2 linked regions of the Saccharomyces cerevisiae S288C genome follow. Changing the gene in region 2 together with the main gene of any one other region gives a genetic interaction. Each region holds a gene or a part of one and is shown on either strand. Other genes may lie near its edges.

The links. Genes that interact genetically often act in the same process or in processes that back each other up.
Region 1: of CPA2 (region 2) and HMS1, changing one suppresses a phenotype caused by changing the other (phenotypic suppression), as found in Saccharomyces cerevisiae (2 studies listed by BioGRID).

The regions. Positions count from the first base shown.
Region 1 is NC_001147.6:389,271-392,580, forward strand, and holds HMS1 (Hms1p), read right to left. Parts: upstream 1,806-3,310; coding exon 501-1,805; downstream 1-500. Other genes in the region: YOR032W-A (uncharacterized protein), read left to right, coding at 2,906-3,106; Rad2 family nuclease EXO1, read right to left, coding at 3,146-3,310. UniProt on the Saccharomyces cerevisiae protein: Involved in exit from mitosis and pseudohyphal differentiation.
Region 2 is NC_001142.9:625,650-635,852, forward strand, and holds CPA2 (carbamoyl-phosphate synthase (glutamine-hydrolyzing) CPA2), read right to left. Parts: upstream 7,293-10,203; coding exon 3,936-7,292; downstream 1-3,935. Other genes in the region: ECM27 (Ecm27p), read left to right, coding at 1-1,366; LIH1 (putative lipase), read left to right, coding at 1,691-2,677; YJR107C-A (uncharacterized protein), read right to left, coding at 2,808-3,044; ABM1 (Abm1p), read left to right, coding at 3,063-3,434; phosphatidylinositol-3-phosphatase YMR1, read left to right, coding at 7,966-10,032. UniProt on the Saccharomyces cerevisiae protein: Large subunit of the arginine-specific carbamoyl phosphate synthase (CPSase).

The DNA of each region.
Region 1 (3,310 bases), on a different chromosome or scaffold from region 2:
GGAGCACCTGCCTTCCAAGCTGTTCTGGCGGTGAAAAGTGCAAATGTGATCACAGCACCGGAAGCCCTCAATGTAAGAGTTGTGGTGAAAAATGCAAATGCGAAACCACGTGCACTTGTGAAAAGAGTAAATGCAATTGTGAAAAATGTTAGGTGACCCCTACTCTTTACTTATCATAAATACATCATCATATTTTACCCTTAATTAACAACATTTATTTAACTGCATGAACTAAATATAAGGTATAGTTTCTTTTTCCCGGAATCTTTTTTTTAGATCGTTATTATTTAGACGGCACTAAGAGAAATAAATTAAACTAAATTACGGTGCGGAGCTCAAGGCATCTGCGAGTGTTTACTAACACTAAAAGAGATGAATAAAATAGATTTCTCAATGCAAAATTAAAATTACAATGTTACGCATACACACAAGTACAGATTTGTATATAGTATTTCTTCTTCGTTTTATCTGTCGTGTTGAAACATTTTGTTGTTCAAGTATTAAAAGTCTCCTGCGTTGTTAAAATCCATATCATGTGAATTGTTGGTGCCGCTCATGAGGCCGTTTTGATGTGGAATATTATATTGAATGTTATGCAATGGTTGTTGTTGTCGTGGCTGCCGCTGCCGTTGGCGTTGGCAGCTTCTGGTTTGCTTTTGTACTTGTTCACTACTACTGTTGTCACTCAACGGTTGAGATGGCTCGGTAAGATGGACGAAAGAATCCCGTGTGTCATTTGATAAATGTTGATTAGCCAAGCTTAGCTGTAGGCACTTTCTTTCTAAATGACAAATATATTCAATAGATTTCGTTAAAATGGACGCCTTATTCAATTTTGTTGCTGGCTCTAGGCCATCTAAGTCTGCTAGGTCTCTAGATGTAATGGGAAGATCGTTACATTTTTTATACGCTACTCGTAGCGTTGGGACAGTTCTCCTTAATTGTTCAATTTTATCATTAATATTGGAACGGTATTTCTTTTCAATTATATTGTGTGATACCCTTCCTGTCCTCACCCTTGTTATTCTTTTGGGTTTAACATGAAAATGTTTCCGTATAGGTGAAGTTTTTAACTTGAAGCTCATACTGTCAGCATTGTCAATATTCTCCAAATTCAAAGATGATTTAATCTCGTCTGCAGTAACTAAGGGAGACTCTGTCTTCGATAAAGGCAAAAAATTTTCAAAGCCAGACAATTGTTCCTTTTTCACGATTGAAGCTGCTGAAAGAAGACTCGAGTCCTTTTCAGATTTAAGATCGGTTTGCTTTACATTATCAATGTTTTCATTTTCCTCGCTACTAAAGACTTCCATGTTATCAATGTATTCTTCGCTGTCAATAGTATTGCCATTGTCTGTAGTCATTGTAGTACTACCCGTCGTTGTTGTAGGTATAGAAGCCAGAGCATCATTATAGTAATTACTATCAATTACTGGAGTGTGGCCTGAAGTATTAGGAAACGAGGAGTCACTATACTGGTCTGTGGCAGAATATGTGTTGTTCTTATATACAGGAGGCACGGGAGGTTGAAGATGGATGGGATGCTGAAATGGAGCGTAATAAGCATGCGTCGGAGGTCCTTGAGAACCCAAATCCTCGGTATTGTAATTTGGTGGCGGCACGTTGTAATTGTTACTTTGAAACATTAAATACATTTGGTTCGTGGTTACATTTACATTCTGCTCTTCGCTGCCATCTTGAGCACTTCTACAATCAAAAACCTTGATGGCGACTTTATTACCTAGGTCGTTCATTACAGAATTGCCATCCGAAGAACCAGAAAAAGGTTTTTGAAAATTTGGCATTTCCAATTTATACTCTTATCGTTGCTAAAATGAGTCGTGTACTGCAACTGCTCTATATTCTATATTCTAAGCGAATGGGTGGGTGGGTGTGACTAACTATTAAACTACCTAAGCGATCTCGAGAGCCAAGGCGAGTAGTAGAAATAAAACTAGAAGCGCGCTTTACAGGTTTGACCTTAAGTATGATGCGATAAGACACTTACATAGGACGATTTTTGAGGCTTACAATGTGTAACCAAGGTATATAAAAGGTGCTGCTGCTCTTGGGAAAAATACAAAGAAAACGCCTACGGTAAAAATACAATACCAGCTATTTTTTTCTTTTGAGAAGCCCACTCAAAGTAAAAATTAAACAATGATGGAAAAGAACGGAAAAAAGTTCAAACAGAAAATTAAAATACAGCAGAGAAGACTAGGCACAACAAAGTGGGATTGTGTCTACGCTTTTAACGGTGTACCCTTTTTCCTCGCCACGTTTTCACTCAGATCTAAATCTCTGCTGTAATTTACAGCGGCATAAGAAGGCACGTCCCCTGAAAGTAGGCTAGCCAGAAAACAAAAAGGCCAGAATCGGCGCGGAACTTCTCGTATCGAGAGCAAATGAGGGGTGCGGCACACAGTAGGAAAGGGTAACTGATTAACATACGTACACCCCGGCATAAAAGCTTCTGCAGGCTTTGTAGGCAAGAGACACTGCGGAGAATAAAAGGTTGTGACGCCCAATACCTTCGCCGGACTCCTTCTTGGCGTTCACAAAAGACGATGCTGCAGCATTTTTTTCTTGCGTCGAACTCGCGCCCACAGCAACGAGACGGTTCCGTTCCTTCCCGTAATGTTGCTTTGATTAACAAAATTCTCGTTTCCTCAGTTCTGTGAGCCCGTTTGTCAGCAGAGGAATCCCAATGAAGAAAATTTTTTCTGGAAAGTAAAAGCGAGCGAAAAGTTTAAGGTTCAGATTGCATCACTATTCGTTCAGTTGATAGCGAATGTAGACCGCTAGCGGCTTGATTAGATAAATAGAGTGGGTTAAAAAAAAGGAAAAAAAAAATGTGAATTGCACATGCCCAGCGCGCTCGCAAAACATATAAAGTTGTCCTCACATGCGGCGTGCATTGTTCATAGCGGGGCAAACATACTTGTGGCTTAATTTGACACATCTACTTTTAATCTTTTCTTGGTCTAGTACAATGGCTTTTTCCCAAAGTAGAAGGCTTCTTACTCCAACCGTACCCTGTCCTACTTTACTGGGCATTGATTTTTTAATTCTTGTCTTGAGGCATTTCGACGAGATTTTCATTTGAAAAATATACCTCCGATATGAAACGTGCAGTACTTAACTTTTATTTACCTTTATAAACAAATTGGGAAAGCAAGGAGATAGATCTGACTGCCGGCCGAGCTTGGCTTGACTTAGTAGTTTCGATGTCCCTTTTCTTACTTTCCTCATGCAAAATTGGTGATGAATTGAATGATTTTCGTTCATCTACGCTTTTCATGTCAATCAC
Region 2 (10,203 bases):
CTCATCTTTGGAGGAGGATGACTCAAGGAATGAAATGGCAGAATTGAACACTCTACGTAGCATGACGCCGGGACAACATTGGTCCGCCTCTGCAACAGTTGCAGGAGAGGCAACGAGTGCTGGAAGACCTTTCAGTGAGCCAACGAATGCGTTTACGGAATATAGAGATTCTGAAAGAGCAATAAATAGTTCCCCAGCGGTGTTCGCCCCCTACCGTGACAACCCTGATGATGAAGAGTCTCAAGAGCAAGTATTATTGGAGACAACAACGCATGGTCATTTTGGTGCGCAAGAAATGCGAAGGTTCTCCAAAAGGTCTCTGGGCTGGATTATAAAAATTTTCATACCACATCTCTCAAATTTTTCCCAGAAATCCATCTCAGATGCGATCTTTTCCATAATAACTGTTCCGTTTTTCATTATTTTCAAACTATCATGTCCTCAACCGCCTTCAGATATTTTGAGTTATGATCCCACTTTGAACAGATACTCTTTAACAACGTTACCCATAATTTTATTATTTATCCAATCAATTACTGCACCCTTCCTCCTTTGCAGTATACTTTCTGTGCTTTTGACATATCATCTAGGCTATCTCGTTTACCTTTTCCCTCTTATATTAGCTATGGCCTTAATTTTACTATTGACGGCTTTTATTACAAAGGTAAATCTGCATAACAAGTTTACTCTGTCATTAGACAGCTCTAACATTTTACAGGAAAAGCTACAAAAAAGAAAACTCCTCGAAAGGCTTAACACAAGCATCCAAATAATTTTTCTAGCTATCGGCATAATAAATATCATAATTTGGATATCACTTTTAGCCAATTCTCTTATTGAGATGATGGAAATTTACCAAAAAATATTAGGATTATCGAAAGCTATTTTGGGCCTTACCATTTTCGCATGGGGCAACTCAGTAGGAGACTTGATCTCCAACATATCTATGTGCAGGCTCTACAAAACCCAAACTCACTACCAAGACAGAGTTCGTTTAGCCACAAAATTTTTTATGATATCATGCGCATCTTGCTTAGGAGGCGTAATGCTGAATTCTATGGGTGGAATAGGCTTTAGTGGGCTAGTATCAATGCTTTTTATTGGCGCTTTTAATGATAACGAATGGTGGTTCCTAAGAAAGGTTAAATTACAAGAAACAAGTCAATTGGATAATACATTAAATTACAAATTCATAGTTTCTTGCGTCTTCATTATCCTACAGATTATTCTCTTGCTGTTATTCTTCGGAGGGCCTAACAATATTAAACGGCGCCTCACAAAGGAGATGAAGTTAGTCGGAATCTCTATGTGCGGACTATGGGCACTAGCCACGTTGATTAATATACTTCTAGAACTGTTTAGCTAAAGCTTGCAAGAGTGCCTCCCGAAAAATTTGTTTTTGTGACATTTATCTGGCGCCGTAACAGATCCGCGCAGAACACAGAACACCAAGAAAAGAAGTACTATTTAATTTCAAGATTACTTAGACTCCGTCATTCAAATCGCCCTTTTATTCAAACAAAAATGGGCCATATATTCTTTCTGTCTCAACCTTCGTTTCCTTGGATGAATTATTTTGATTGAGCTCCAAAAAAAAAGTTGTAGCCAGGAACTATCCAAAACTTCGATTGAGAAACCCATAACAATGATGCCTGCCAGACTTTTCATACTATATCTTTTTGTAGTACTCATGCCTGTTGTTCATTGTTCGTCCAACCTGCCCATCACTCCATATATCTATGAGCGTCTAGTATATTTTATTAAGGCAAGCTCTATATCAAGCTGCATATCTGACAACTTACTTCTTGTTAATAAAACCTTCAACGACGGAGGTTGTCCACCACATATTAACTTCTGCAATGATGAGATAATTAACCCAACAGCGGGTCAAACAGTGGTTGAATTAGTTCTTAATGCAAAAAAAGGTGAATTAGGCTCGGGTTATCTGGCTGTTGACCACGGAAAAAAGGTTGTTATTTTAGCATTTAGAGGATCCACAACAAGACAAGATTGGTTTAGTGATTTTGAAATATATCCTGTTAACTATTCTCCCCTTTGCGTTAAGGAATATCGTAAGCTTATAGAGGAAGGAAAAATCAGAGAATGTGAAGGTTGTAAAATGCATAGAGGATTTCTAAGGTTCACAGAAACTCTCGGGATGGACGTCTTTAAAAAAATGGAGTCGATTCTGGAAAGCTTTCCGGAATATAGGATCGTTGTCACTGGGCACTCCTTGGGGGCAGCATTAGCAAGTTTGGCTGGGATTGAATTAAAGATAAGAGGCTTTGATCCGTTAGTGCTGACATTCGCAACACCAAAGATATTTAACAGTGAAATGAAACAATGGGTAGACGAGTTATTTGAAACAGATGCTATAGAAAAGGAGTCAATTCTTAAAGATGAAATTCAATTTCGTAAGGGCTATTTTAGGGTTGTGCATACAGGTGATTATATTCCTATGGTTCCACCATTCTATCATCCGGCTGGTTTAGAGATGTTTATTAACAAAGTTGGTCTACCTCAGAATGCGGAAGATATTGAATACCGTGGTAAAAATAACAGGTTAACTTTAAAGGATGGATTTCGAGAGGGTATGAGCGGTTTGGTTGAAGACTGGTTACATGTCTATGAACATCGAGCCTACTTCATTGACGTAGTGGGATGTTCTGGACTTTAACATTCACCCACTTTTACGTTTTTGTCTATAACTAGCATATATAATACCGCTCTAGAGTTACTCTAAACTAAATGCGACCACTATTCTTAACTAATAATTGTTCTTTTTACAAATAACTCTTTCAAAACTTCTAATCTTTTCTCTTACGTTTTCCATTTATCTGCTCTTCTTCTGAAACTCTTTTTCCTGCATTGGCCCTCTCTTTGTTACATGAAAGAGGTTTTAGGGTTGGTAATATTTCTGGTTGTAAACTTCTTGAATACACTTGGGTAGCTAACTGCTTATTCCAGTTCTCCTGGCCACTAATCCCGGCTACGCTTTTGTTGAAATAGTATTCTTCTACAGCATCATAGCTATCATCACACATGTCTACTAGTTTCCACGTATGTCTTGGAGGTACTCTATCTTGACCGTAGATGGAAGCTTTAAAATTTTCATCCCTTGGGAAATATTCCTCACGTGGAATTTTTTGAGCGCTGCATGGCTAAATTCTACCGAATCCAATACGTATATCCACTACTCAACATGTTGGGGCACAAGTGATTACACACTTAATATCTCTGTCATAGAAGCTACTACAGAGAAATTGGTTGACACTAGATTATTAACAACACTCGAGAATGCAACCGCTTGGATTAACTCAAACTCTATTGATGAAGACGAAGATGATATGCCTCATGCCACTAACGTAGCAGACCGGCTTGATGGGTTATCCCTTAGCAAGCGCGTATATAGCATCTGTCACTACGAATTTTAGTGCGGATTCTCTCCGTAGCGTAAACGTTCTCTATACATCATCTACCCATGTTGCTCCACCTAGCAGAACATTTCAGAAAGAAAGAAGTCCAAGTAATGGCCAACAACCAGAAGGACAGCTTTTTTTATGAAGGCCCCCTACTGCATATTCATTAAGCTTAAGCTTGATCGGTGAAAAATGCTATAATCTACGTGTACTGGTCACATTGTTGCACATCTCAATTAATCAACGCTCTATTATTATACGGAAGATATAAAGGCATAGTAAATACACTTGCCTGAGGTATTGATTGATGAATTATTTTCCACGGCCCATGCGTTACTCACTTCGAAAATACATTTGAATTTTAGTGATAAGTTTTGCGATCTACTTTTGTTCAAGATAATAATACTGGGGTAGAATATACACTAAGAAGTCTCTTTGAAATTAAAAATATCTCTAAAAAAATCCATTATATAATATACAGTAATACAATTAGAGGCAGGTTTTTCTTTTGCACAATCAATATGCTTTGAAACCAATAAATTCATCCCAGGAACGGACTTCTGGTGGAACTATAACGTCATGAGATTCCAAAATTTTGATCTTTTCTGCAATTTTTGCCTTCAAACACTTTGCAAATAACAAAGCCGTTTGAGGTTCATTGAACAATGGGATAGCAAAATCAATAGCATTCCTTCTCATAATATAGTCAACATCGTCAGTGCTCTCAGCTCTCTTGGAGGCTAAATTGAAAACAGCTTTTATGTCATATTCTTGAAATAGTTCACGCAATTTTCTCTTATCATTCTTTGGAAATTTAATCAAAGAAACCTTTGCGTTCTTTTCTTTGATGTGTTCCTGTAGATACGTTTTAGTGGTCTCATTAGTTGTGTATATTCTGTAACCAATAGTGGCCACTATGGAAGCCACTTGGCCCAAGTATTCTCGAGATGTATCACCTCCAAATAATATACCACTTGGAGGTAGTGGTACATGGAAGTTCATGGTACTTTGAATAGCAGTCCAATAGCTTTCAATTAAATCTCTACCAAATGAAGCAACTTCACCAGTTGATGCCATTTCAACCCCTAAGAAAGGATCTGCACCAGCCAACCTTGTAAAGGAAAATTGAGGAACTTTAGTAGCAACATAGTCGTACTTTTTGTTGAGCATCAAATCAACAGGTTTTGGTACAATGTCACCGCCCAAAAATGCCTTGACAGCAATTTCAATAAAATTAACGCCTAAAACTTTTGAAACGAATGGAAATGATCTAGAAGCTCTAATGTTACATTCAATCACTTTCAATGTATGCTCCCCATCCTTGATGATTTGCATATTGAAGGGGCCAGTGATCTTCCAAGCTTTTGCGACCTTATCAGCAATGTCTTTTAGGGCAATCTTCACATCGTCAGAAAGATGTTGTGGCGGTAAGACTAAAGAAGCATCACCGGAGTGCACACCCGCATTTTCAACATGCTCGGAAATGGCATGTACCAAGACATTACCATTATAAGCAACGGCGTCCACATCAATTTCTTGAGCACCTTCAATAAATTTAGACATGACGACTGGGTGGTCTGGAGAAACGTCAGATGCCAAAGTTAATTTAGCCTTCAGTTCCTCCTCATTATTAACAACACTCATTGCCGCACCGGAAAGAACATATGAGGGACGAATCAACACAGGGTAGTTAACTTTAGAAGCAAATAATTTTGCTTCTTCTACTGATGTTAATTCACTCCATTCAGGTTGGTCAACATCAATAGAATCCAAAATAGATGAGAATTTGTGTCTGTTCTCAGCTCTATCAATATCGTTTGGATTGGTACCCATTATATTACAGCCGTTATCGTAAAGTTTCAAGGCAATGTTTTGAGGTAATTGACCACCGACAGAAATAATGCAACCCTCAGATTGCTCCAACTCATAAATGTCCATCACTCTTTCATACGATAATTCTTCAAAGTATAATCTATCAACTTCATCGAAATCTGTGGAAACTGTTTCTGGGTTATAATTTATCATGATAGTTTTCTTGCCTTGATCTCTTAATGTCTTCGCGGTGTTCACGGCACACCAATCAAATTCTACAGATGAACCAATACGATAGACACCAGAGCCTAAAACCAGCATACCATTTTCGTTGAACTCCACATCGTTCTTTGTAGCATTGTAAGTGGTATACAAATAATTGGTTTGTGCTGGAAATTCTGCGGCCAAAGTATCGATTCTCTTGACAAAAGGGATTATACCTAACGTTTTTCTTAAACTTCTGATTTCCAGTTCGTTAATGTTTGTGGAGGCGTGTTTATTTATAGTAACCGCAATCTGCTTATCTGAAAACCCTAATTTCTTGGCTCTCTGCAAGAGATCTTTACTCAAGTCACTTAAAGATTTAACTGATTCAAGCTCTTTATAGATATTAACAATGTTCATGCACTTGTAAAGAAACCATTTATCAATTTTACTCAATTCATTAACTCTCTCAACAGTATAGTTTTCATGGATTAAGGCCTGACCAATGGCAAGGACTCTTCTATCAGTTGGAGTTCTCAAGGCTTCATCAAGTTGATCGCCGAATTCAGTAGAACCTTGGAATCCCAATAATGATGGATCCACCTGTCTTAATGCTTTTTGAAAGGCTTCTTCATAGTTTCTACCAATAGCCATAACTTCTCCAACTGATTTCATAGAGGAACCAATGGATCTGTCCACGTATTGGAACTTAGAAAGATCCCACTTAGGTATTTTTGCCACAATATAATCCAAAGATGGCTCAAAGTTAGCCACTGTAGTTTTTGTGATTGGGTTTGGCAATTCTGGCAAAGTATAGCCTAGCCCAATTTTGGCGGCAGTGTATGCTAAGGGATAACCAGTGGCCTTAGACGCCAATGCAGAGGAACGAGATAAACGTGCGTTCACTTCAATAACTCTATAGTCTAGCCCATCAGGTTGCAAAGCGTATTGGACATTACATTCACCAATAACACCAAGGTGTCTAATGATTTTAATTGCGGCGGATCTTAACATATGAAACTCTTCATCTGATAGGGTCTGCGAAGGAGCAAAAACCATAGAATCACCAGTATGAACACCAAGTGGGTCGAAATTTTCCATATTACATACTGTAATACAGTTACCAACCCTATCTCTGACCACTTCATATTCAACTTCTTTCCAACCTTTCAAAGATTTTTCAACAAGAATTTGTGGGGCCAACGACAAGGACTGTGCGGCAAGTTCCTTCATTTCACTTGCATTGTTAGCGAAACCTGAGCCTAACCCACCCAAAGCGTATGCAGATCTGACAATAACTGGGTATTTGACCCTTTCAGCAGCCTCCAAAGCTTCATCCACGGTTTCACAAGCAAATGATTCTGCGATGGGAATGTTGATATCCTTTAACGCAGATGCGAAAAGATCCCTATCTTCAGAAGTGATCAAAGTTTTGATAGGAGTACCTAAAACTTTGACGTTGTATTTAGCCAAAACACCAGATTCATCCAGAGCCACCCCACAATTTAGACCTGTTTGACCACCGAAGGTTAAAAGTATAGCATCCGGCCTTTCAAGTTCAATGATATATGTGATGTATTCTGGTGTAACGGGCAAGTAATAAATCTTGTCCGCCAGGGAATGAGAAGTCTGGTTAGTAGCGATATTTGGGTTAACCAATATAGTAAACTTGTTATCTTCCTTCAGAGCTTTGATAGCTTGAGAACCACTGTAATCGAATTCACCAGCTTGACCAATAGAGAGCCCTCCTGATCCAATGACAAGTACAGAATTTACTCCTTCAACTAATTGAGGTTTGTAGTCCTCGGTAGTAAAAGCAGAATTCGTAGGCTCTGTTGATGTATAAATCGATGTCATTCTTTTCTTCCTGTCTATGTACTGTATTGCTCTTCCTTTATAGAACTAATTTTAACTATAGATGTTAGTTTTTCGATGCTTAAACTTAAATAGCGCTTCAAAAAAGAGATAAGGCATACTATAGAAGACGTATTAGTAATTATATATATACAAATAGCATGGCAGAAATGCTTATGACGGAAAAAAAAAGATTGGATTTTCTCGATGCTTACTCAAGGTGACACAATCGTTACGACATGGAGGTTCCTATCTCTGATATTCAAAAGTTATTGCCATCTCATCAATAAGAGTCATTCACAATAATCTATAGAATGCCGCAGGAAAGAAGACAGTGGTGGATGAGTCATTTTCTCAACCCTAGTTTACAATCTGAATGTTTAGGGGATTTACTATTTTTAATTAGGACATTTGAATATTTCTGATAGGGTAAAATCACTTTTTAGGGTTTCTGATTTTCTATTTTCCTCATTTTTCACAATAATAACAATGTTGCCATTCTTTTATCACTACCCTAAATGTACCAAATATTAGTAAGAAAAGAAACATTATAAAGAAAAGGAGGTTTTACAAGGGTCACTTGGTGAGATTAGGTCGTCGTTATTATTTTTATTTTGTGGGCGGGGTGTAATAGTGCTAAAAAGAGGGAAAAGAAATAGTATACCATTCCGCAAAGATGGAGTACATCAAGATTGCCAAAGTATCTAATGTAGTGCTGCATAGAAGAGGTACGGCCACACAAGGTACTTTACATTTGACTACTCACCATTTGATCTTTGAGTCACCACAATTGTCGACGGAATTTTGGTTTCCATATCCTTTGATCTATGGAGTGCATAAAAACCCGGGTAGTACATTACTGTCCAAGTTGACTTCCACTAATCAAATCCAATTGGAGGGAACGGATTCACAGAATTACAAGCTTTACCAGGGTAAGGATCTATGGTCTTTTGTAAATATCAAGGTAATTGGGAAAGATTATGCGGTATTCTCATTGGATTTCGGTGGTGATTTACATCTACAGGCAAGAAAGGTGTATGATTCCATCTTAAATTTGACGGTCCTGTCCAATATCACGCAACTATATGCATTTATTTACATATCCAACAATCTGGAAAGGAAACTACCTTCACCCGATAGCTGGGATATATATGACCCAATTAAGGAATTTCGAAGGCAGGGCCTCGACAGTAAAGATGAAACATGTCCTTGGAGGCTATCCACGGTAAACGAACACTATGAATTTTGTCCAACGTATCCCTCAAAACTTTTTGTACCAAGATCCACGTCAGATATATTATTGAAGCATGCTTCGAAGTTTAGATCACAGAAAAGAATTCCTGTTTTAACTTATCATCACAAGGCAACAGATTGCAACATTCTTAGGTCATCTCAACCATTACCGGGGTTGATCAATCAGAGGTCCATTCAAGATGAAAAATTAGTTTGGGAAAGCTTCAACTCATTTTGTAATAAAGATATTAGAAGAACGAAACATGTAATAGTAGATGCCAGACCCAGAACAAATGCATTAGCACAGATGGCGTTGGGTGGCGGGACAGAAAATATGGATAATTATAATTTTTTTTTAGCTGATAACAATATGGGTGTCGATAAAAGTCTAAAACTGCCCACAGTTACACGGTTATTTCTTGGTATAGATAACATTCATATTGTTTCCAACACAGCTGCATACATGACGGAAGTTATCTGCCAAGGTGGCGATTTGAATTTACCACTGGAACAGAATTTAATTAGGAGTCAAAAATTTTCCAATTGGTTGAAGTTGAACACTCTTATTTTAAAATCCGTTGATATGCTTTTAAAGTCCATCATTTTCAATCATTCCAACGTTTTGGTTCATTGTTCTGACGGTTGGGACAGAACCAGTCAAGTTGTATCACTATTAGAAATTTGTTTGGATCCTTTCTATAGAACTTTTGAAGGTTTTATGATCCTAGTGGAAAAAGATTGGTGCTCTTTTGGTCACCGGTTTTTGGAAAGAAGTGGTCATTTAAACTCTGATATTAGATTTCATGATAACACTATGCATTCCAACTTCAACGATGTGGATACCAATGGCGATGATCTTGACATAGGTGTTAACACTCAAGACGATTATGCTGAAGATGATGAAGGAGGTGAAGATGAGACGAATTTAATTAATTTGAGTAGAATTTCCAAAAAATTTAACGAAAACTTTAAATTGAACAAGAAAAGTCTAAAGTTCGTCTCCCCAGTTTTCCAACAATTTTTAGACTGTGTATACCAACTTTTGACGCAAAACCCAGATCTATTTGAATTCAACGAAAGATTTTTAAGAAGACTAGTTTACCACTTGTATTCATGCCAATATGGAACATTCCTTTCCAATAGCGAGAAGGAGAAATTTCAACAGAATTTGCCAAACAAGACTAAAAGTGTCTGGGACTACTTCAGATCTAGAAGAAAGCAGTTCATAAATCCAAATTTCATACAGAGAAAAAGAAGCGGCATGAATGAGCACGATCAAAACCTTGAAGAGGAAGAAAAAGTGGAGTGGATTTCGCCGGATCTGAAGAAAGTCCAATGGTGGTGGCAGTTATATGGAAGAAAAGATTCAGAAATGAATGATGAATTACGCCATAAACGAGACTCAGTACCCATATCGGTGGATAAAAAGAGTAAAGAGCATAGTAATTCCGATGGCGGTAAGGGTTTAAATTTGTCAATTTTTGGATTTGATATGTTTAATAGAAAGTGATCTGGTTAACGGCAAAGAAGACAAATAAGTGAGTTAGTATTTTGCATACAATGATAGAAGTATAGAAAAGTTCAAGCATTTCTCCGTTGTTAGTATACATATATATATATTAATTTTAATGAATAAGGGTACATATATTATGAGCATAACGAGTGGCCGATCGGCAAAGGG